Linked DNA regions of Tamandua tetradactyla. The main gene of each other region encodes a partner of the protein of the gene in region 3 in a complex. Links are inferred from orthologs where the notes say so. Each region holds a gene or a part of one and is shown on either strand. Other genes may lie near its edges.

What was found. Proteins that work in one complex are often made in the same cells at the same time.
Region 1: TMEM126B (region 3) and ACAD9 share a complex: the UniProt entries of both Homo sapiens proteins name them as parts of the mitochondrial complex. The link is inferred for Tamandua tetradactyla from reciprocal best matches to the Homo sapiens genes TMEM126B and ACAD9.
Region 2: TMEM126B (region 3) and TMEM186 share a complex: the UniProt entries of both Homo sapiens proteins name them as parts of the mitochondrial complex. The link is inferred for Tamandua tetradactyla from reciprocal best matches to the Homo sapiens genes TMEM126B and TMEM186.

The regions. Positions count from the first base shown.
Region 1 is NC_135335.1:32,578,890-32,586,878, forward strand, and holds the start of ACAD9 (complex I assembly factor ACAD9, mitochondrial), read right to left. Parts: upstream 3,096-7,989; 5' UTR 2,993-3,095; coding exon 2,849-2,992; intron 1-2,848. UniProt on the Homo sapiens protein: As part of the MCIA complex, primarily participates in the assembly of the mitochondrial complex I and therefore plays a role in oxidative phosphorylation.
Region 2 is NC_135349.1:48,649,288-48,657,065, reverse strand, and holds TMEM186 (transmembrane protein 186), read right to left. Parts: upstream 2,975-7,778; 5' UTR 2,936-2,974; coding exon 2,933-2,935; intron 1,867-2,932; coding exon 1,231-1,866; 3' UTR 596-1,230; downstream 1-595. Other genes in the region: PMM2 (phosphomannomutase 2), read left to right, coding at 3,202-3,267. UniProt on the Homo sapiens protein: As part of the MCIA complex, required for efficient assembly of the mitochondrial complex I.
Region 3 is NC_135334.1:58,850,670-58,858,546, reverse strand, and holds the start of TMEM126B (complex I assembly factor TMEM126B, mitochondrial), read left to right. Parts: upstream 1-4,799; 5' UTR 4,800-4,849; coding exon 4,850-4,930; intron 4,931-6,920; coding exon 6,921-7,042; intron 7,043-7,877. Other genes in the region: DLG2 (disks large homolog 2), read right to left, coding at 2,846-2,864. UniProt on the Homo sapiens protein: As part of the MCIA complex, involved in the assembly of the mitochondrial complex I. Participates in constructing the membrane arm of complex I.

The DNA.
Region 1 (7,989 bases), on a different chromosome or scaffold from region 3:
TCCCACTGGTCTTGGCAGGAGCCCCAGGGGCAGTTCCGGGAAGAGCAAGTGTGGCAAATGCTGGCCTAGATGAGCTTAATGATCTCTTCCTATTCTGAGATTCTAAGCATTGCTGCCACTTTCCTGCTCAAATTCCGATAATACTGTGAGAGCTGAGGTTGGTGATTCTGGATATAAACTGCAGGAAGGGAAGACAGGATGTGTTGTCAGAGTAGATGTGGATATAAGAATAAGAGTTATAAGGATTCCCAGTGTTCAGTCTGAACAAGTAAAATAACAGTTGCCACTGTCTACAACAAGGAAGGTGGTGGAGTAGAGAGACCAGCAACTCAGTTTTGAATGTTAAACTTGAGACAACTATTAGGCATCTCTTATGGGCTGAAAGGTGTCCCCCCAACCCTTCCTTCCCAAAAATATGTTGATGTCCTAGTCCCTAGTCCCTCGGAATGGGACCTTATTTGGAAATAAAGTTGCTACAGATTAAGATAAAGTTATAATCAGAAATTAGAGCAACGATTCTGAATGGGATGAGATGGGGGGGTGGGATGAGGTAACAGAATGTGGAGTTATTGCTTAATGGGTGCAGAGCTTGTTTTGGGTGACAAAAGTGTTCTGGTAATGGGTGGTGCTGATGGTAGCACATGGGGAACTTAATCAAAGCCAGTGAAGTATACACTTCAATGGTTCACATGGGAAATTTTGAGTTGCATATATAATACCACAACAAAAAGGTTTAAAAATGATGAAAGATGAGGTCATAGTAGCGTTGGAAGGCTCCTAAACCAAAAGGACTGGTGATCTCAATAGGGTCTGACACAGGGGAGGTAGCCATGTGAGGATGGAAGCAGAGAGTAAAGTGCTGGAGCTGCAAGCCAAGAAACGTCAAAGACTACTGGCCAACACCAAGAGCTAGAAGAGGCAAGGGAGGAGTCTCCTCTACAGGTTCAGAGGGACCTTGCTTTCAGAACCAAGACAATAAATTGCTGGTGTTTTAAGCCACCAAGCTCGTGACAGGGGCCCTAAGAAACTAAGACAACATCTAAGTGGAGCTGTGGGGCAGAAAAGTAGACATAAAGTCTGGAGTTCAGCTCTGGGGCAGAAAAATAAATATAAAGTCTGAACTGAAGAAATAAACTCATAGCCCGAGCCTTAGAATATACCACTCTAACTGGGTATGTCAGAAAGAATGACGAATGTGTAGAGGTCAAGGAACTGAGAAAGAGACTGGGTAAGACCAGACTGAGGTAAAAAGAAGAACTGGGATAGAATGGTCTTTCAGAAGACAGGTGAAGAAAGTGCTTCAAAGAGGGTGGTGGGATGAACTGTCAGATGCCAATGATAGGGCAAGATTAGGACCGAGAAGAGACCATTAGATTTGATGATGTGCAGGCCACGACCAACTTTCAGGAGAGCAGTTTTAGAAGAGTGTTAATGACAAAAGCCTGAGATGAAGTAGAGAAGGAAACACTGATGATGCAGATGACAAAAGACAGAGTAAGTGAATCAGATCCTTGAAAAGGTGAGAAGGCATGAGGTCTAGTGATGAGGCTGGGCTTTGGGAGTTGAGAGTTCATTCACAGTCATAGGAAGAAAGTAGAAGAAATAGGTATAAATGTGGGGAGGAGAGGGTATATGTGATGATGAAAGTTCTCCTTGACTGCAGGTATTTTCTTAGTGAAGCAGGAAGCAAACTTGACCGCTGAGAGTAAGGATGGGAGAGTCGGCACCAGAGGTTCAAAAACCTGAAGGAAGAAAAGCTTGTGTCCTTTCCTGGCCATGCTGTTTAGAGGCATAGGTCCCAGGAGACAGCACAACACAGCCTCACATTCAGGGTGAAAAAAAAAAGGTTTCCCAAACTTTAAAGACTTAGATCTGCACTCACTGACAGGAAAACCCACTCTCAGTCTGTCTCAGCTTCTACACCTGTACGGCTGGTATAAAAGGGTCAGCCTAACAATCGCAGAGGAATGTTCTAATGAGAAAGGAACTGACTCCTTAAGCCATACAGCAGCAGTCAACTTTTTGCTAAGCCTTGCTCAAAGCACTTCACAAAAGTTTTTTCTTTGGACTGCACAGCACCTTTAGCTGAGGATGAATTATGTTTATACTCCTATCCTGTAGAAGAGCCCACTGAGGCACAGGGACCTAAGTGAGTACCTGAAAGTTACACAAATAAGCACTGACGCCAGCATTAACAATTCTGCTGCCTCTTACCTCTACCCAGTACCTTCCTGCTTAGAAAACAGTTCCAGATACCACTGTGAGGTAGAAGCATGACTAGATGCATTTTAAGGTTGAAGAACTAAGGCCCCCCAAGTCATAGAGCCGAGGTCAATTTCAAGTCTTCAAACAACAAGAGGATGGAAAGTGCTTAATAACCAAACCGCTGCTATTGACTGTGACCGCGGAAGGGATGGCGAGAAGAAGGCACCTTGGAGCCAGGTTCTTCGGCAGCCTGAATGGTAGGTTCCGGAGCCGGGACTCAGCTCTGAAACCTAAGAGCAGTTGGAAGCCCACGAGGAGCGGCAGGGTCTGCGCTGTTTAGAAATCAGAGAAATCTCGCACATTTTGGGGCTAAGACAACCCAGTTGAGCTCTGCTTGGCGATCACCTAGAATAGGGTTTCCCAAATTAACCTGACAGGAATTAGCTGGAATAGCTGTCAAAATCATGGTTTCTCCAGGCCCCTTTCTCTGGAAAGGCTGGAGTGGGACTCGTAACACGCCCCGCCCCCAGGTGATTCCAGTTAGGCAGATTTGGGGACACTGACAAAGCTCGACACCTGTTTTGCTTGCTAGGGCCGAAAGGTGGGAGCCGGGGAGCAAGGGTCAGCTCGGGCCTGGCGTTACCTTCTCGATTTTGCCCAGGAAGAGCTCCTTGGCGAAAGCTCCGCTCGGAGGGCTGGTGCGCAGCGTGCGTCGGCTCGCCGGGAAGGCGGCCAGAGCCCGGCAGGAACGCGCCGCCGAGCGCAAAAATAGCACGCAGACGCTCATGCTGCCTCCAACTCCTTAAGCCGCCGGGTCCGCCGCCGCCACTTTTCAGCATCAGCAGTCTAGTGCACCTGACTCGCGTAGCCCGATGACGCCACTCGACTGCGACGCCCCCCCCCAACATTGCGCTTGCGCTACCTCCCGCGGACTGCCGGCTGGAGGGGGCGGATCCGGGGGCGGGCCCGGGGGACGGGAAGGGGCGGGGCCGGCACCGGCCCGGGCGCCATGTTGGCGGCCTTGACCTCCGGTGGGTGGTGCATGCGAGGTAGGTTATATCTTCCAATGGCAGTCCTCTCCAGGAACAGATTGGTCTTCTTTCTTTAATCTCTCATTGTGCGTGTACCATGACTGTAGCATTTACCACAGTATTGGAAAATATTTTCCGGCTCCATTATATGAACTTGAGAACAGTAGGAAATCTCGTTCATGTCAACATGCTTTAACCCCCTCCTTGAGCGAGTCTCAATAAAAAGTTGAATTAATTGCGTTAAAGACCTGATGACCCAACGTCAGAAAGATAAGAACCCAAAGACTTATTTGGTTAAAAAATATTTGCAAAAAAATTGTACTTTGGGTAGGGTGTTGCCTAATTTGACTTGTGTGGTCAGTTCAGTTGAACACCATAAACTTGAATAAGACAGGAGATCTTGTTGGTTTGTACAGGTTGGTGTAAAGCCTGGATATATCCCCGAGTAATCTGGGCAGAGAATGAAGAAGTGTTTGTGGGGGCTGTGGAGGGCCAGGAGCAATAAATCAGGCCGGAGCAAGGAAAGTCCCCAAAAATCTGGGGCGAAATGTCCCCAAGAGTTAAACAATGACCAATGTTAGGAAACTGAGGGAACAGGATGTGTTTTGGCAACAGTTAATGGCATTTTTCTGCTTCTGTAATTACACTTGCTTGCTAGCACCTGCAAACCACAACATGATTTTAGCCTTTATAAGCTCACCTTGAAAACCTCTGGGAGCTGCTCTCTGAATCATCCTTCTTGAAGGTTTCTGAGGCAGTGGCCAGCAGGTTAATAAAGACTCCCAATTGGCTTGCAGTTTTGAATTGTGTGGTCTGTCTTTCAGTGCGCCCCACAACATTTGGAGGCCCCAGCAAGATTATCCCTAACAGGACATCTGGTGACCACCGGTCCTGGATCGCCCCTGGAACCAAGGTCCAGCATAGGGGAAGGCCTCGGAGAGACGTTCCTCCACCCCAGGCAAGGACCAGGGACCAGGCCGGTTCTACAGGACTCTCCTAAATTATAGAAAATCTGGTGGAGTCATCTGTTTTTGGAAACCTCACCGGTGAGTACAGGTCTGTTATTGGATCCAGTGAGGACCTCTGGAGGGCTGAATGCAGCATTACTTCTGAGGTCCAGTCCTGGAGCAAGACATTGCCCAGGACTATGGGTTAGGAATTAGTTAGGGATAGCTCTTTGCTTATTTTGATTTGTTTTGTCCCTCCTCCCAATTGTTGGTCTCATCGCATTCTGTGTCGTTCTTGTCTTAATTGCCGTGGGTCAGTCAAGTTCATCTGTCTGTACTCCCCTTCAATGTTTTTTTAAAAATTTTCAGGAATTTCAGCCGAAGGCCAGAGACTACAGAGCCCCTGTCAATACCTTTGACTTGGAAAAATTCTGTTCATGGGAGTAGCCAACTTTTGGTACTGGGTGGCCTCCTGAGGGAACCACAGATCTATCTGTGGCTTATAAAGTCCAAAGGGCGATTTTTGGTAATCCAGGCCACACTGACCAAATCCCCTGTATGGTAATTTGGATTGAAATCTTTACAGAAAAACCCAAGTGGTTACAGTCCTGCATGGAGACCCAAAAAGGAAAACCCCCCAAAGCCAAACGGCCCTCTTAATAAAATTCTCTCAGAAAGAAAAAAAACTAATGGGATCCCAGTATTGACAGGACCCTTGGAGGATCTGCTCTCGATGGACCCTCCCCCATACCCAACAGCCCTTCCGCCCCCTCTAAGACCAGAGGGGAGGAAAGGTCAAGAGGTGGCAACCAGCCCCTCTGATAGCCAGGAGGTGACCTTCAGTCCCCCCCATACCAGAAGTGGTTCTGCTTACCACCCTTCTTCTGGTTCACAATCACCGGATTCTTCTGGAGCTCCAATTTTACCCTTGAGGCAGGTTGGCCCTGCCCTGGGGGATGACCGTCCACCTTTCATGGTCTATGTCCCCTTTTCCTCTAGCGATCTGTGTAATTGGAAAAACCAGAATCCCTCTTTCTCTGAAGAGCCGCAAGGGCTCATCTCCCTCTTGGAGACTGTCTTTTTGACGCACCAGCCCACCTGGGATGACTGCCAACAGCTCCCCCAGGCCCTCTTCACCTCCGAAGAATGAGACTGGGTCAGGAGAGAGGCGAGGGAGTTAATTCTTGGACCTGATGGACAACCTACTACTGAATCAACCCGATTAGAGGCTATGTTCCCCTCCACCTGTCCCAGACAGGACCCCAACACTGAGAGAGGTAAGGAGGCTCTTGATCGATATCACTGGACTCTGCTCTGGGGAATACAAGTGGCGGCCAAGAAGCCAACCAACTTATCTCAGGTAAGTGAAACCGTACAAAAGCCTGATGAATCTCCGGCCGCTTTCCTTGATCTCCTCCTTGAGTCATACCACTTGTACACCCCTATAGATCCAGAGGCACCCAAAAATAGGCGAGCTGTAAATATAGCATTTGTCACCCAGTCGACCCCAGATATAAGAAAAAAGTTACAGAAATTAGAAGGATTTGAGGGTAAAGTGCTATCCGAACTGATAGAGAGTGCCCGCAAGACTTTTAATGACAGAGATAACCCCGGAACCACGCAGTCCCAAAAAAAAATAGCCAAAATTTTAATATCCGTGATGGCTGAACAGGAAAAACAAAAAGGTAGGGTACACAGGTAGTTTAGTGGTTAGAATGCCCGCCTTTCATGTGGGAGACCCGAGTTCGATTCCTGGACCACGCACGCACGCACGCGCGCACACACACACACACACACCCCAAAAAAGGAAAAACAAAAAGGTAGACAAGAAACCATTGAAAAAAGAAAGGGAAACCAAGGAAAAGGTTGGGCCTACTAATGTGCCTACTGCAAAGAGAATGGACATCAGAAAAATGAATGCCCTAAAAGAGAAATTAAAGGACTGAAACCAGCCCCTGTTCTAATTGGAGAGGTGAATTGATGGGGACAGCGCTCCTTTCCATTGAGCCCCCGGGAGCCCAAGTTCACCTTAGAAATCTGGGGCAAGCCTATAAAATTTCTTGTGGAAATACTCGGGCGACCTTCTCCATCCTCCAGCAAGCAGAAGGGCCCAGATCTAAGGAAAAAATCCCCATACAGGGAGCAACGGGAAAGACAATGTCTTACCCATGGACGAAGACAAGGATCACTGACCTTGGGGAAGGAACTGTCACCTACTCGTTTCTTGTAATGCCAGAGTGTCCATACCCCCTTTTGGGGAGAGACCTTCTCCAGAAATTACAAGCCACCATCTCTTTCAAAAATGATTCGGCCGAGCTCTCCTTCAATATAAAACCCTCGGCAATCTTCCTCACTTGCCCCTTATTGGATATTCACTTACTGCAGAAGTGGTGCTGTTGGCCCCAGGCCCATATTTGCGGGAATTTAAAGAAAAAATACCAGGCATATGGGCAGAAACTAACCTACCAAGATTAGCCACCCACTGGCCTCCCATTGTTGTCCAGCTGACTAGCACCACCACCCCAATCAGAGTCCGACAGTACCCAATAAGCTTAAAGCCTAAAAAAGGCATTGCAGTCCATATCAAAAGACTCAGAGGCAGGTATTCTAGTCCCCTTCCATTCGGCCTGGAACACCCCCCTTCTCCCAGTCCAAAAAACCCGGGACTGACGATTTCCGGCCAGTGCAAGATTTCCAAGAGGTAAACAAAAAAATTGAAACCATTCACCCCACTGTGCCTAACCCATATACACTCTTGAGCCTGTTACCTCTCAGCCAGCAGGTCTACACTGTTCTGGACTTAAAGGATGCCTTCATTTCACTTCCCCTGGCCGTGGTAAGTCAACCCATCTTTGCTTTTGAATGGACTGACCCAGAGTGGGGGTTCTCTGGACAACTAACCTGGACTCGGTTGCCTCAGGGTTTCAAAAATTCTCCCACCCTGTTCAATGAGGTTTTAAGCCAGGATCTGGCTCGTTTTAGACAAGAGCATCCAGAGATAACTCTCCTACAATATGTGGATGACCTCTTACTGGCAGCTAATAACCTGTCAGACTGCAAAAAGGCAACTGAAAACTTGTTACAGGAACTAGCCCAGTTGGGCTATTGGGTCTCAGCCAAAAAAGCCCAACTCTGCACCAGTTCAGCAACATGCTTAGGGTATGAATTAGAAGGGGGAAAAAGAGCTCTGTCTTCTAAAAGGATTGAAGCTATCCTAAAAATACCCTAACCAAAAATGAAAAGGCAGGTACGGGAATTCTTAGGGGCAGTTGGATATTGCTGGCTCTGGATTCCCGGGTTTGCAGAGATAGCAAAACCCCTATACACTAGCACAGGGGGAAAGGAGGAAGCTCTACCTGGACTGAGGCTGAGCAAAAAGGTTTTAAGATGCTGAAACAGGCACTTGTGAGCGCCCCTGCCTTAACCTTGCCTGACATATCCAAACCTTTTCAACTACATGTCGCTGAAACCTGGGGAATAGCAAAAGAAGTCGTCACCCAAATGCTAGGGCTATGGAGGATACCAGTTGCCTACCTGTCTAAAAGACTAGACTATGTAGTGGCCAGGTGGCCAAGCTTTCTCTGAGCCATTGCCACCACTGCCATTTTAGTAAAAGAAGCATCCAAATTGACTCTGGGACAGGACTTACACGTAGTGGCCCCACATTCAGTAGAAACATTACTAAGGAGCCCACCTGAGAGATGGCTCTCAAATGCCCGGATAACCCAGTATCAGGTATTGCTACTGGATCCCCCAAGAATCTGCTTCCTAAAAATGGTGGCTCTTAACCCCACCACCTTGCTTCC
Region 2 (7,778 bases), on a different chromosome or scaffold from region 3:
TTTAGTTTGAAATGCTAGTGATAAATGAAAATGAGGGGTAAGGGATATGGTATGTATAATTTTTTTTTCTGTTATTGTTTTCTTTTTCTGTTGTCTTTTTATTTTTCTGAATTGAGGCAAATGTTCTAAGAAATGATGAATATGCAACTATGTGATGATATTGAGAATTACTGAATATATATGTAGAACAGAATTATATGTTAATGTTTAATGTTTTTGTTCTTAATTTTTTAATTAATAAATTTTTTTTTAAAAGTAGCTGTGATTTCTTGTTCTTAAAAAAAAAAAGTTTTAATTCCTTTCTCTGACCTTCAAAGGCTTCCTACTGTGATATCGATAAAATTCAAAATCTTTCCCTCCTGCCAACAAGGCAGGTCTCCTGACCTTGCTCTTCCTCCCTCCCTAGCTCCACTTCCACATCTTCTCTGTTCCTCAGCAAATGCACCCAGCTCTCCCCAGCTCATACTCACAGTTTCCTTGGACTGAAACAAACTCTGTGCCTGCCTCTTACTTCCATCTCAGGGCTCTATTTAAGGTCCCTTCCATGCCCCTCCCCACCCCAACCACCCCACTCTCCCATTGCATTCGCCACCACTTGTAACAACATAGGTTTATTTGTCTAATGTCTGTCCTGCCACAAGACACTCAACGACAAACACCTCCAAGGCTTTTATGAACCTCTGGTACCCTCAGAACAGAGCAGTGTCTGGGACTGTGACGTAAAGCTTAGTATTTGCTCAGGGTCACTGAGTTTTCAAAGCATTCGGATATTTACTGTTTATCCTTATACCCATCCCAGGAGACAGGCAGGACTCTCCACTTTGTGGATGTGAAAACCAATGTTCAAAGACATTCAAGAACCTACCCTCAACAGAAAGCTGAGAAATGAAAAACTTGGGAGTCTTCAGACTCCAAATCCTGGGCTCCCCCAGCCACATCTCTGTTTTCTAATTTCCCAACTGTGTACCATGCAGGTGAACCTGACGTAGCCTCCTCCATGAACTGTCATTATTTGACTTAATGTCATATACACAAATTGCAGTTAAGAATCTGCACTAAGGATCTTTTTTCTAAACCTGATTACTAGCTTCTGCCTCATGAATTTCCTCTTCCCAAAAGACAAGTTCCCAGGGGTCCTGGCAAAGACTCCAACTGTCCAATCCTCTTCTTCAGCCTTGCCCTGTACGCTCAGTCTTCCCTTCAGAGATCTAGGTGACCAGAGCTAGGGATTCACTTGAGTGTGTCCAGGACCCCAAACACCTGTGTGAACCGCTCTTCGTCCAGGATGCGTCCATAGCGCAGGGTGAGATAGAAGGTCTGTTTCCCACTGTACTGCTGAATTCGCATGAACGCATCCTGAGGCCGGTCCCTGGTTTCCGTCAGGGGGATCACATCAGCCACAGGGCAGTATGTATCTTGCCGCCACCCCCAGAAGTTCAGGTGTGCTACACGCAGCATGGTGCCCGACTCACTGACATACAGGATTCCCACCAGTCTTCGGAAGAAATAGCTCATCCAGCACAACATGGCCAGGGCAAAGCCAGCTATCCCAGCCACAAGGCACAAAGAGTCGAGAGTCATGAGGCCCTGGGAGTACCAGTAGAAGCCTGGGGGCAGGGCCACTACTGTCAGAGCTGTCTGTGCCACCTTCAGTCGAGACAAATACCCGAAGGCTCTGATGGCATCAAACCGGTAGACCATACGGAATTTCTCTTTCTCTGGGTCTGGTGGTTTCTCCTCTGAGGTGGGTGACCTGGTCCCCACGCACCTCCTGGGATCCTGCTCAGTGCAGCACCACAGCCCATAGAGAGGCCTTCCCCACGCAGCTGGTCCCCGCAACCGGGGTATAGCTCGGAGAAGGGCAGCCTGCAAGGGAGAAAGGAGAACATTTCTCTTACAGAACTCCATCATAGTAATCTGCAAGGCTTCTCACACAGAGACTCCCCCCTCATCCTGAGGTCATCAGTGACACCAGAGATGAAGAGAAAGGTAAAACCAGATGCTCTACCTCAAGTGCCCTTTGCACCAGCTATGTGCAGTAGAGAGCACTACTTCCACTTTACCACTGAGGAAACCAAACCCACAAAGGATAAAAAAAATTTGCCCCAAAATGGACAGCTAGTGAGGGAGGCCAGGTCTGACATTCAAAACGTTCCTCTTACCTCCAGGCAGTTCCAAAAAGGTAAGAAAAGGGGGACCAGCCTTCATTCATTCCACAAATAACTAATAAGGGTCAACTGTGGGCCTGGCATTATGCTGAGCACTGGATCCACAAGGCTGTGTGGACACTTCCCCAGTAAACAATCAGTGTCCTATCAGGATACTGGAGCAAGAAATCAGTGAGATACTTATGATAATAACTTTTCAATTCTCTGTCAGGTTTATGCGTTAGCTTGGGTGCCTAACCAACTAACTGCTAACTAACTCCTTAGCCTAGCTCAGGAGAGGAAAACAGCAGAGGGGAAGGGGAAAAGATTATCCTAGGCGCGCAGTTCTACACCTTGTGGAACAAAATGGAAAAAGCTCTGAGCCCCGGGCCTTGAAGCCAGATCTGGGTCCCAATCTGGGTCCCAACCTGGCTCCAACCGTCACTAGCTGTATCTCCTTGGACAAGTTACTCAACACCTCTGAGAGCCCATTTGCCCATCTTTAAAAATGGGGATTCACAGCAAAGTGAAAGATAAAATGATTTGAAAGTCCTCAACACGGCGCTTGAACAGGTGAGCGCTCGGTCAGTTTTAGCCATCACTATTATCAGCCCATGTGACCTATGGAGGGCACAGGAAGCCAGAAAATTAAGTGCAACCCACGCCGAAGTTTCTTCCCGCGGATTCTCCGAGTCAGAAACTCGGGCGTCCTGCCCGTCCGCCCCAATTCTACCCTAACCCCGGAAAACGCAATTCCTCCCTCATTCCATTACTCGCGTTTTTACCATGGCCCCGCAGCCGGCTGCCGGAAGTGAATCCCGCCTGCCTCCGGACCTCTAAGGGCGCATGCGCATACGTGCAACGACAACGTCGAGGCGCACTACATTCTGGTCGCTGTGGTCCAAAGCCAAGTAGTCGCTGCTAGTCCCCAGGCATTGTGGGAGTAGATTCTCCGCCTCCCGGCTTGCCCTGCGGCACGTGGGCCGGACCAGGAAGTTCCGGGTTGAGTTCCTGGTGCCAACGAGTCCTCTTAGGTGGTCACGGGACCGGAGACATGGCGGACCCCGGCCCAGTGCTCTGCCTCTTCGACGTGGACGGGACTCTGACGGCCCCGCGGCAGGTAGGCGGCGCCCGGTGGGCCGGCGGCAGCCGGTGTGGAGCCCTCTGCTGGGATCAGACGGGACTAACGACGCCCTGGGTGGGCGGCGAGGGCGGTTGAGGACCACCTCCGGTCGGCTAATGACCTCCTACCAACTCCAAGGGGCTGAGTCTTAATCTGGTGTCTTGGAGGGATGTGAAGAAAGCCCTGTACAATTCTTCAAGACCTCAGGGTGTTCTGAGTGATGGGACGGAACCAAAAAACGCCTGAGAGCAGGAAACTTGCACTGGATTGAAAAGTGCAGTTCTAGAATCTCTCCGTAAGTCCTGCGGGCTGGTGGCCGTGGATTTGAACCACAGCTCAGGGCTCCTTACCAGCCATGTGCCTTCTGAGGTCCCGTTATCCATGAGCTGTGTTGTGTAGCCTAATATTAAAATCAAAGAATTCGGGGTCAGGCAGTCCTAGGCGAGTCTCAGCTTCACCACTGTGTGACCTTGAGCAAGTCACTTAACCTCTCTACACCTCAGTCTGCAGCTTTAAGTGAGGACATTCTGTATTTTTTATGTTATTCGTGAGGATCAGATGAAATAAAATAAGCTTGTAAAAGTGTCTTGCACGCAGCAGGCTTTAATAAGTGTGAGCCACCACCCTCCTTTCTCACCCCTGCAGTGGATCTGGACAGCAGAGGAGTTGAAGTTAGAGGCTACCTGTTGAGACTTCTCTCGGACTTTTTAGGTTCTTGCTTCTCATTCCCAGATTTTGCTGCCATAGATATGGATAGGTTTCAGCTAAAATCGGCATTTGTGATGAGGCTCACTATTATCTCCTGCACAAATTGATTGCTCAGCATCAGCCATTGAGATTTGAGGCTGGGCCCAAATAGCTTTACCGTCCTCAAGTACAACCCCTCTACCCTATTCCCTTTCCTGCCATTGTTTTTTAGCTGAGTGGGCAGTGGTGTACCCAGAATTCCACGTTATATGTGTGTGACCTTAGTCACGTCATTTTATCCTCTGAGCCACAGGTTCAGTCTGTCTGGCAAGTTCTCCAAAGGCCCTGAGGTTCAGTGATAGCACACATTTGTGGGTTGCTAAAGGTCCACAGCGGTCTAAGACAAAGATCAGCAATTCTTTTTTTGTAAAGGGCCAGACAGTAAATTTTCATCTTTGCAGACCCTTTTTTCTATAGTAACTACTCAACTCTAATGCAAAAGCAGCCATAGTGAAACTTAACCCCACAAAGGATAGGCCAAGCCTACTTAAAATTAGTCCTAAGAATCACCCCCAAGAGAACCTCTTTTGTTGCTCAGATGTGGCCTGTCTCTCCAGCCAACACAACAAGTAAACTCACCACCCTCCCCCTGTCTACGTGGGACATGACTCCCAGGGGTGTGGACCTTCCTGGCAACATGGGACAGAAATCCTAGAATAAGCTGAGACTCAGCATCGAGGGATTGAGAAAACCTTCTTGACCAAAAGCGGGGAGAGTGAAATGAGACAAAATAAAGTGTCAGTGGCTGAGAGAGTCCAAACAGAGTCGAGAGGTTATGCTAGAGGTTATTCTTACACATTAAATAGATATCACCTTGTTAGTCAAGATGTAATGGAGAGGCTGGAGGGAACTACCTGAAAATGTAGAGCTGTGTTCCAGTAGCTGTGTTTCTTGAAGATGATTGTATAATGATACAGCTTTCACAGTGTGACTGTGTGATTGTGAAAACCTTGTGTCTGATGCTCCTTTTATCCACCTTATCAACAGACGAGTAAAACATATGGAATGAAAATGAATAATGGGGGAGTAAATGTTAAAATAAACTTAGGTTGAGATGCTGGTGGTTGGTGGGTGTATGGTATGTTAAAAAAAAAAAAAAAGCAGCCATAGACCACATGTAAACAAATGGGCATGGCAGTGTTCCAATAAAACTTCATTTACAAAAACAAGCAGCTGCTCTCTTTGGCCAGTGGACCATGGCTGATTGATCCTTGGTCTAAGTTTTTATTTCCAAAACTTTTTTTACACAATATCATTGGATCCTCTCATACCTTCTTTCCTCCCTCTTCCACTCCAAGTAGGATAGTTGTTATTCCCAATTTACGCATAAGGTACCTGAGATCCCATGCAGTTTTGACCTTCTCAGTTTCACACAGCAGACCTGCTACAAATCCCTGGACCCTAGGGCATCGCTGTTTGCCACATTTGCCATTTCCTACGGAAGCTGTTCCAGTTGTTATGGATGCTGTTTGGAAAAGTGCTTTAGATTCTCAGAAAGATTCAGAATGTCTGAGCTTAAAGCTTGAAATAGTAAAGAAACCAGGTGACCTGCAGTGTAATCCCTTATGATTTAGTTTATTAATGCTGCTGGGATATGATAACCAGAGATGAAACAGCTCTTATAAGGGGAATTTATTAAAGTGCAAATCTACAGTTCTAACACTATAAAACGTCCAAACTAAGGCATCCAGGGAGAGATACCTTGACTAAAGAAAGGACTGATGACATTCAGGGTTTTTTTCTCTCAGCTGGGAAGGCACATGGTGATGCCTGCTAGCTTTCTCTTCCAGCTTCTTTAAACAACTTCCCCTGGGGGCATTTTATTTCTGTATCTCTAGACTTCTCTGGGTTAGCTTTGAAGCTTTTTCCAAAATGGTTCCCACGTAAAGGACTCCAGTAAGTGACCCATCTTGAATGGGTGGAGATGCATCTCCATGGAAACCACCTAATCAAAAGGGCCCACCCATAACTAGGTGGGTCACATCTCCATGAAAACAACTTCATCAAAAAGATCCCATTCAGCAATATTGAATCAAGATTAAGGAACACAACTTTTTGGGGTACACAACGGTTTCAAACCAACATACCTTAAAACATTTGAAACAGGCTGTTTTTCTGCATTGAACTTGCAGTGAGTTTGCCAAACTGCAAAGTCACAGGGAACAGTCCCCCAAGACTGCCCTCACTCCAGATACCAGCCGCAAGTTCACAGGCACCCAAGACAACCTTCATGTCAGACCAGCTGGCTACAAGTTTAGGGGTTCCCATGACCACCATCAGGTTCGGTGATTCAGTAGAAGGACTTACCCAACTCAGGAAAGTGATAAAATTACAATAACAGTTTTATTTGGGGGAAGAATACGAATTAGAATCAGGCAAGAGATGCATAGAGCAAATTTTGGGAAGGGTTCAAGCGTAAAGTTTCTGTCTTCCACTCCCCATGAAGTCCTGGATTGTGTCACCCTCTCCTGACCACTGTGTGTGACAATACACTTAGAGTATCACCAACCAGGGGAGCTTGCCTGAGCCTTGGTTTGCAGAGTTTCTATCAGGGCTTAATCATATACTGCCCGCATGGCTGACCTTTAGTCTCCAGCCCCTTCAGCTTAACTCTCCAGTTCCTCCAGAGGTCAGAACTGCTCATATGGCTTAAAACCCCCATCATAATTGGTCAACTATTTGGTGACCAAAGCCCCCAGGCAAACAAAGACACTCATATCAGGCAGGACATTCCAGGGGACCAGAATCGCCTCCAGGTAGCTGAGGGCAAAGGTCAGACCTTTGAGTAAAGCTAATTCTTCCCCAGAAAATAAGTTTTTACAGTAAAAAAAAAAGTCTAATTAAAAGATAGTTATTCCTGTTTGCTCTAAATAAAAATATTTCAGCAAAAAATATATTCATTATACAATCTTTCCCTTCCTCAATATATGAATTCCCAAACATGGATAAGTCCAGTATAAACCAGAAGCAGAAGAATGGGTTATCTTTTCTTGCAGAAACAAGTAACTAACCAGGCAAAATCTAATTAGAGTGGACCCCAGGGCTTTCTCAAACAGTTCGTTGTTTGAGTAGAATTTTAATGTGCTGAGTCCTTTGCTAAAAAATGCCATTCCATCTGGGGCCATAGCCTTCAGAAAGAACGGGATATAAACCTGTGTGAATTGTTTGTCCGACTTTTCATTATGAAAGACTTCAAAGATGTAGAACCACTGAAAGAACAGCCAAGGGGACACCCTATCCCCACCATTTAGATTCAACCACAGTTGGCATTTTGTCATATGAACTTTATCTCTACATTTTTTGTGATTTGTCTTGCCCAACCACCTCCTAAGTCACAGTCATCAGGGTACTTCCCCCCAGCTCCTTCAGCACGCATCTCTTAGGGACACAGACGTCCTCTGTCTTAACTACAGTGTCATTATGAGACCAAGACCAGTATCCCCAGTTCCCTAATACTTAACTCCCTAGACCAGAGTTCAGCAAACGATTTTCTGTGAAAGGCTGCAGCGTAAATATTTGAGGCATTGCAGTCCATCTAATCTCTGTCACAACTATTCAGTTCTGCATTCAGATGGTGAAAAGAGCCATAGATGATGTGTAGATGAAGTGGCTTGGCTGCGTTCCAGTAATACTCATGTACCGAAACGGGCAGAAGGCCAGATTGGGCCTGTGTGCCCTCATGTGCCAGCCCCAACCCCCTGGCCCATAGTCCTAATTGTCACAAGAAGTCTTTTATAATTGGTTTTTTTAAGAAGTTGAAT
Region 3 (7,877 bases):
TTTTATTTCTTATGTTATTCCAACATGAAATCAGATCAGGTTAATTTAAAAAGTCCTATTGAAATAGCTCCTTTACAATATACATGACCTTGCTAATATGACATCTTAGATTGGCCCTAAATTTGCACAAATTGAAATAGGTCAAAAATGACCTATAGATTCATTTGGGTACAATTCAAGCTACTACCACAGAAAAGAGAATCATGAATGAAAAACAACTACTGGGGGGGGGGGGGACCCCTAACAGAAAAACAGAAGAATCTTCTCTCGTTTTAAAGCTGAGACCTGTACAAATGTAGACTGGTGTGGGAACAGCAGTTCCCACACCAGTCAAACAGAATGTCAAACAGAAAACAGCAGTGAATACGAGTGGGTGGGGATGGGCTGAGATACAGCAGTTTCATCTTTTCTAAGAGCAATTAAGAAAAGTTTCATCTTTTCTAAGAGCAATTAAGAATAGTACATGGAAATAGACTTACCAAGATGTCACACCTATTTCCACTTCCTAGGATGGTTGCATCTTATCAGTCTCCTCTCTACTTTGACAATATACACAATAAATACCAAATGAAAATCTCTTATGAAAATTACATATTTTAATAATATATTTAACAACAAACATTTAGCTTAATGTGCTTTAAAATTATATTAAGTCTAGATCTTCCATCATATCTACAATATTTAACAATGAAGAGAGAAAAGAGTCAAAATGACGGCAGTGTTCCTTACAGAATAAACCTAAGCTGTACTATTCATAGTATTTGTTTTTACTTATATTACAGGAGTACAAATAGTAAGCTTAACCAATTAAAAATAAGATGCTCATGTAATAACTTGTTTGGTTAATTATCTATAGTATTCAAAAACATACATCTTAATACTAACAGTTTTAAGAAGTTAAAAACAAGATAAATTGTTTCTTTAACTAGATTAGTTCAGAAAATAAATTACATAGTGCCAATACTTTAGGATAAGCCAACACATATAGTTTTGCTAGTTAGAACTTGCCAATTCCCTAAAAAATCTGATCCATTACAATCAACCTATTATCAAAGAAATATGAAGAGAAAAAGGGAAGGCAGGAGGGAGGGAGAAAATAACATCAAATTATTTTCTATAAAGTATTATAATCTTCAATAATTTATCAGCAATGGTTTAACAGTTCTTTTAAAGGTAGGAACTTTTAAGAAAAAATTTAGTCTGTTGGCTTTAGAATTCTTAAAAAATTCATCCTTTAAGTTATACCTAGAACATCAACTACCTTCCTCATTCCCACACACATGCTTTTATCTCTCCTTCCCTCTCTGTCTCCCCTCCTCCTTCATTTGCTTTCTCCCCTTCCTGCTCTCTTTCTCTCTCCCGTTTTCCTTCTCCTCTCCTCTCTCTCTCACACACAACGTATCTAATTCAATCACTAGTTCAAAATAAGGTAGTTTTAAAAGAGACACTCTCTAGAGAACTATAAATGGTAGAAAGAATAAAAGGACACAGCAAGCTAAATAAGTCAAAGAGCCATATCATTTATTGGCTACGTTCCAAAAAAACAAAAAGCCAGTCTTTTTCCAGATAAACTACTGGGTCAGGTCTGAGCAGGTGTGGCTCCAAGATCTCAGAGAAAGTCTACTTCTCTCAGTGATAACAGGAGGGAGAAAGGAAGTTGATAACCCAGTCTTAAATACTGGTGTACAAAGGGACAGTTCTAGGTGATTCCAAGTTTAATATATCATGTCCCACCTTTACAAATACTATCTTGCATGAAACATTTCATTCATTACAATTTCTTCAACGCACCTTCCAAACACATGGTAAAAGGATTAAACACTGTGCAAAGCAAGGTTGTACAACCTTGGGTCACTGCCTCAGGACCCAGGCACTCTGACCTACAATTCACCCAGAGGATTAGTTTCGGAATGCAGCAAATGATATAACTGGCCAACATTTGGATTTATGCTGGTACAATATAGTAGAGTTCAAGAATGTTCACATAAATTTTGTTTCAGAACTCTTGAGAAAATTCTTTATAGTTGATCTGATCTTCCATATCACATAAAAAAAAAATCAAACTGGTTTCATTAGAAAACTTGGGAACAATGTTAACATGGGGTAGATGTAGGTTAACCTGAATCCCTAAGGTCTCACCTTTAATAGACTAAATTGCAGGAACCCATTAGAACTTGATCCATTCCATGCTATAAAAATTGGGAGAAAAAAAAAGCTAGGTGTTTGCATCATTTGGGGTACTTAACAATCATTTTATTGGATAGTGCATTTGGAGGTATCTGGAAAAGCACAACAGATAGCAAAGTTGTGCTTTATCACAAAAGTGGAGATTTGTATTGGCATGAAACCAAAATACAAAATTTTCTTTTTAAAAAAGTCAGAAGATAAATTATAAATCTGTAAGTTGTTCAGTGGAAATGAAATTACTTTGCTATTTTTCACAACTACATAGTTTGATAAATATTAAATCATGGAAAAGAATTTCACTGTACAAGTTTCCTTTCTAAAGATTGTTTAAAAATAACCTTTAACATGCAAAGAAAACAAGTTATAGAAAATCCTAAATCCTTGACATTGAATCTTTCTATTCTTGTTATAAATTGGTGATTTAGAAAACCTGATTTATGAAATCGCAAATATCAATTTAATACTATAGTCATATTTCATTTTGCTCTAGCAAAATATTACTGAATGTTGTACCACTGAATAAGCCTAATTACAATAAATATTTCATAAAACCCAAGCAAAATTTTACCTTCTGATGGAATACAATTCAAAATTACAAATACCAGAGCCCCCAAGAAAAGGGAGAAACAAGTATTATATAGGAAGCCTCATAGCCCACCTTTCCTCTTGACTGGCATTGTTGGGTCTTTCCGCTGCCACAGGATTCAAGATCTCTTCAGGTCTCAGCTTGATCCAGCGGATTGAGGCCAAAACCAGGTAACTGTTGCAAACCACTTCACTGTTCAGTTTTGAAATCCACGCTGAGCCTTTTATTTCAGGTAAAGACAATAATGTATTTTTTTCCACAATTAAATTTTTGACATCTCCCACAGAGCACAGAGAAAACTAACTTTTGAGTTTTTCAAGTTTTTCAATTTTTATAAAATATTGTTTTAAAAAACTGAGAAAATTATTGTGGCATAGAAATGTAATTAAAACTCTCCTTCAGGCAGCAACATTTTTGGAAGTTCAGTGACTAACTCAAGGCACAAACCAAATTTGGACAGCTGTCTCATTACTCTATACATGATCAAGTTCAAAAATGCACTGGTTGATTATAAAGATGTTCAGTTCCTTAAGAGAAAAAAGTAACTGCCCCCTCCCCCTCACCAAAACAAAAAACTCAAAAGTCTCTAAAAAGGTGGGTGAGTTTGAACAGTCCTCTGGGGGCAAAAACAGACTTGAAAGGCCCCTTTCTATTTACTGGACCAGAAGTTCGGATCTCACTCCCTCAGTCAGACAGGATCGTGCTCGCTGTCATTTTCATCTTTATCTTCTGGCCTCTCCAAGCCCCCCCCAGGCTCGTTCTCTAGTGCCTCTCTGATTCCGATCCTCCCATATATTAACCGAGAGGATTGAGAAGATGGACAGCAATCCCTTGGCATGGAGACATTAAAGTGGCAGTGCTACTCAATGGGCACTTTGATGCAGGATGAGTTGGCGAAGCAGGTTTCTTCACACTGGAGTCATTCACATCATGCCACCTTTTCACATCCAAGCAGCTACCTATCCGGCGAGAAAAAAAAAAACACTGAGACTGTTCCAGAGGAAAAGGCAAACCTTTCCCCCAAAGGCGTTTTCAGAGACGCTGTAGTAGCGGTAGGCATGTAAACATAAGCTATGCAAACGGTCCGCGATTTTCTAAATAAAGAGTTCAGCCGCTTGGCTTCGCATCCACTCTTTCTCTCAGCCTCTCTCCAAACTGCCCACCTTCCTTTCGCAGAAAAGACAAGAAATCTCTCTGCCAATGCTGCCACCCCTGCCCACACCCGGTTCTTATGCAGAAGAGCACTGAAATGTCCTGCACCCTCCAGGCGATGAAGTGTTTCCTCAGGCAGGAGAAACAGCAGCATTAGATATTATATAACTCTCGAACTTGGCTTCCCTAAGACATGGAGACTGGAGGGGTCGGGGTTGCTGGTCTGAGAGATACTGCTGGGTATTTAACGAGCACAAAAGAACGCTGGACCTCATCGCACAGCGCCCACCCCACCCCCAACCACCGGCTGACAGGGGAGTCTACTGGGTGGGAGGGAGGCGTGGGACACATTTCTCTCCAGTCCCTTTCCAAGCAGAGCGAAAGGATGGAATGAAGGGACTAAAGATTGGGAAGAGGAGTCTGGCAGCTACGAGGGGAGGAGGCTAGTCAGGGGTGTCTGGCGACGCTGGCGGCTGATTCGGATCTTTGGAGAGGAGGTAACGGAGGAGCCGGAGCCTTAACACTAGAGCCAGGCCAGAGAAGGCGAACTCCTTCTGGGAGCAAGGACAGGCACGGCTCCAATCTAGGGGGCTGCCCTGAGGCGAGGAAGGCGCGCAGCACCATCCCTAAGCTTGGAACGCCCCATTTTCCGCCCCGGGTAGGAGGAGAACAGGGAGTGAGACTGACCAATAGCTGAGGAAGCAAATACTGGGAGACCCAAGAACAGACCCGTCTGCTCCTCCGCGAAGCCAATGATAACCGTAATTTCTGGACGCCACGACCAATCACAGCCAGGATGGTGAGCGCAGCTTTTGATTGGGTAGAGTGAGCCTGGGCGGCGGACGAGGCGGGAGAGCAGGCGCCACTTACCCCCTCCCCGGCATTCTAGAGCCCCGCCCACCCGGGCTCACGTGAGCCGCCAAGATGGCGGTGCTCGGCCGTGAGGTTGGTTCCGAGTTAAGGGATGTAGGTGTGATGCCGGTGAGAGCTGGAGAAGCGCTCAAGGTAGGCGGCAACAGAGTGATATATCTAGAGCCTCAACATGTTGGGGGTCTCCTCTGGGATAATGCACATAAAGGGCATTTGAAAAGCAAAAAGAACAACTTTCGATTAAGCCCCCAGTCAGTATGGGAAGGATTAGAGAGATAATAGGAGCCCTGAAGTCTAGTCCTGATCGTAGGCAACTTGTTTTCTCTTGTCTCTGGACCGTTGCACGGGCCTTTCCTTCAGCTTGGAATACTCACTTGCTCCTGTCTCTCCCCATCCGCGCTTAATTCTCCTCTTTCAGATCTTCGCTTAAATGTCAGTTCCTCCAGGTAGGTTCCCAACATTTTTGGCTAGATTTAAGTATGCCTTTTTTAAAGTTGGTGTGTGTATGTCACCTTCATTCTCCTTTCAAATTACCTGCTTATTTTGTCTTGACCTCCCACTAGGCTTTGGATCCTGACTACACGACTTTATCTTGATTACCCAGGGGCCTATCATATCCCAGGTGATGATTAATGATGAATAAAATTCCGGAAGTCAGGTGGAATAATATACATAATAACACTTAAAACGTAAAATGCTCTACAAACTCTAATCCTACGTAAATGCATTTTTACTGGTTGTTGCCAGTTGAGTGGCTTGAACTAGTGTTTAGATAGAATGTTGGCTAGAGCACAACCTTTACATTTCAGTATTTGTAAAAAGTCTTTCTGAAAGTTGACCAGTCTACTTCTCTGCTTTAATAAGCAGAGTGTAATGAAAAGAATCGGTCATTTATATTGGCAGTGTCTTGCAAAGGTTAGGTACTTAATAAATATGTGCCAGCCTGTTTCAGTATTTTATGATCACAATTCTGTTTTCCCTGTGCAGAGCTGAGGGTGTAGGCTGGATAGGAGATTGGTACAGGGCATTGCCTGGAAGTTATTTCTGTGGGGATTGGGGGTATCAATAATGCGAATGACAGCAAAACAAAAACTTATCCAAGGTTTTTGGTTAATCATGTTCTTGACATTTGCCTTCATCATGCATTAAACCTGTTAGATATAGACCTTCCGTTAGATATTACTATCTTTTCCCTTACATTTTCCACTCACATGTCAGAGAGATGCAAAAGATTAAGTCTAGTATCTGAGAAATTGTCATTTGTAAAAACTTTTTTCCCTTTCCTTCCCAGATATTTTAAAGAAAAATAACTAACCTGAGTACAACTCTGCAAGGATTTGTGGGTAAAAATTGGCCATTATTACTTACTGTGCAATACCATAAGAAGGTTCACAGGAACCTGTATCTTCAGAATGTTAATGCCATGGGCCAAGGATGACTTATCCTTCATTAGTTAGGGTTAGGATTGGTATTGATCATTCATTCAGCAAATGTGTATTGTAGTGATGTTCAAAGTATATTCATTGACAACCAGTATCAGAAACATTTGCAATGCTGTTAAGATGCAGATTTCTAGGCCTCACCCCACTCATACTGAATCCAGATATCTCAGGAGGGAGCTCAAGAGACTGCATTTCATACAAACTCCTGTTAGTGATTCTTGTGCACACTAAAGCTTGAGAACCACTGATTTATTATTTCCTATGTTCATTATGTTTAATCCACTTTAATCCTTTTGCCCAAAACTCTTGAAATTTGAGGATTAGTATATATTCTTGACTATAAAAGTTGTTAAAATGGAGATTGCTGTAAATTCATGAAAGGACTAATCTGGAGGAGATAGGGAGAGAAAAAGCATTGAACTTTCCATCAGGAGCCCTTCCACTTACTGATGTGGTAAGTAAACATTTACAACCACAAATGTGGAATTTGCAGTAAATGCCAGATAAGAGCTCAGTAAATATTGATTAAAATCATTAACATAAAGTATGTGAAAGCAGATAGCATAGTACCTGGCACATTACTAGTCTCTAAATGTTTTTAAAACAAAATCTGTAAAATCTATAGGGTTGTAATTAATATTGATATCATTAGCTATTATGGTTCTGAAATTTGTGTTTTCTAGGACATCAAGACAGCAACATATATGCATCAGCAGCCCAGTCCTTCTCAAGGAGATGCAACACTCAGACGATCAACAGTTATTGAAATGATAGAAAAAAAAATTGAATATCTTAGAAAAGAAAAGTAAGAGATACCCAGACTGAAAGTCAATAGCTTCATTTACAAATCTTCTGTACTGCTGTTTGTGAGGACTAAGATACTCTTAGCTTCACTGGTTCTGAAGAAAGCTTATAAAAAAAGAATTGAAGGAAAACATGGACAAATGAAAATAGTAGTTGGCTGTAAATTGGAATTGTCAATGATGACTTTTGCCTCTTAAAAAGTTCCCAAAATTATTGCTAAAACCATTTGTGCAAAAAAAAATTTTTAATTAAAAATAAGTTAACAATTGTAAAGGGATGTTAAATAAGCATAGATTTCCTTAGAAGGTAGGTTCTTATGAGTGTGTTATATGATACCTGGAGGTTCCAGAGAATTTTCCAGATGGTCTAACACCTGTCCAAAATTCAAGTCTTATTAAAAACAAATGGTTTTCAAAATAAAAGACACCATGGCATTTTGAGATCTAGATGTAAAGGGACCTAAATAAATATTAAATTTTCTTTTTAATCTAGAAAAAAATAAAAGGAGAAAAACCATTTGGGACTACTTATATTTCACTGATTTGTTATTAAAATCAGTTCAGGACTGGTTACTCAACCTCAGTACTCAGCACAACAAATGATACACATATAATGTCTCTCATACCACACTGACTATTGGATTAAGAAAGCTCAAGAATAAAATCAGAAGACAGCTGATCTTAGACCTTAGAAGTTTCTGGATTTCAATATAAGTTAGTATTAGTAAAATAATCTGTCCGCTCTCTTTGGATGAAGTTTTGGGAATCCTGGACAAAATATTTTCAGTGTATCTGTATTACTTAGGAAATAGTTATTTTCTAGAAGGCCTAACCAAA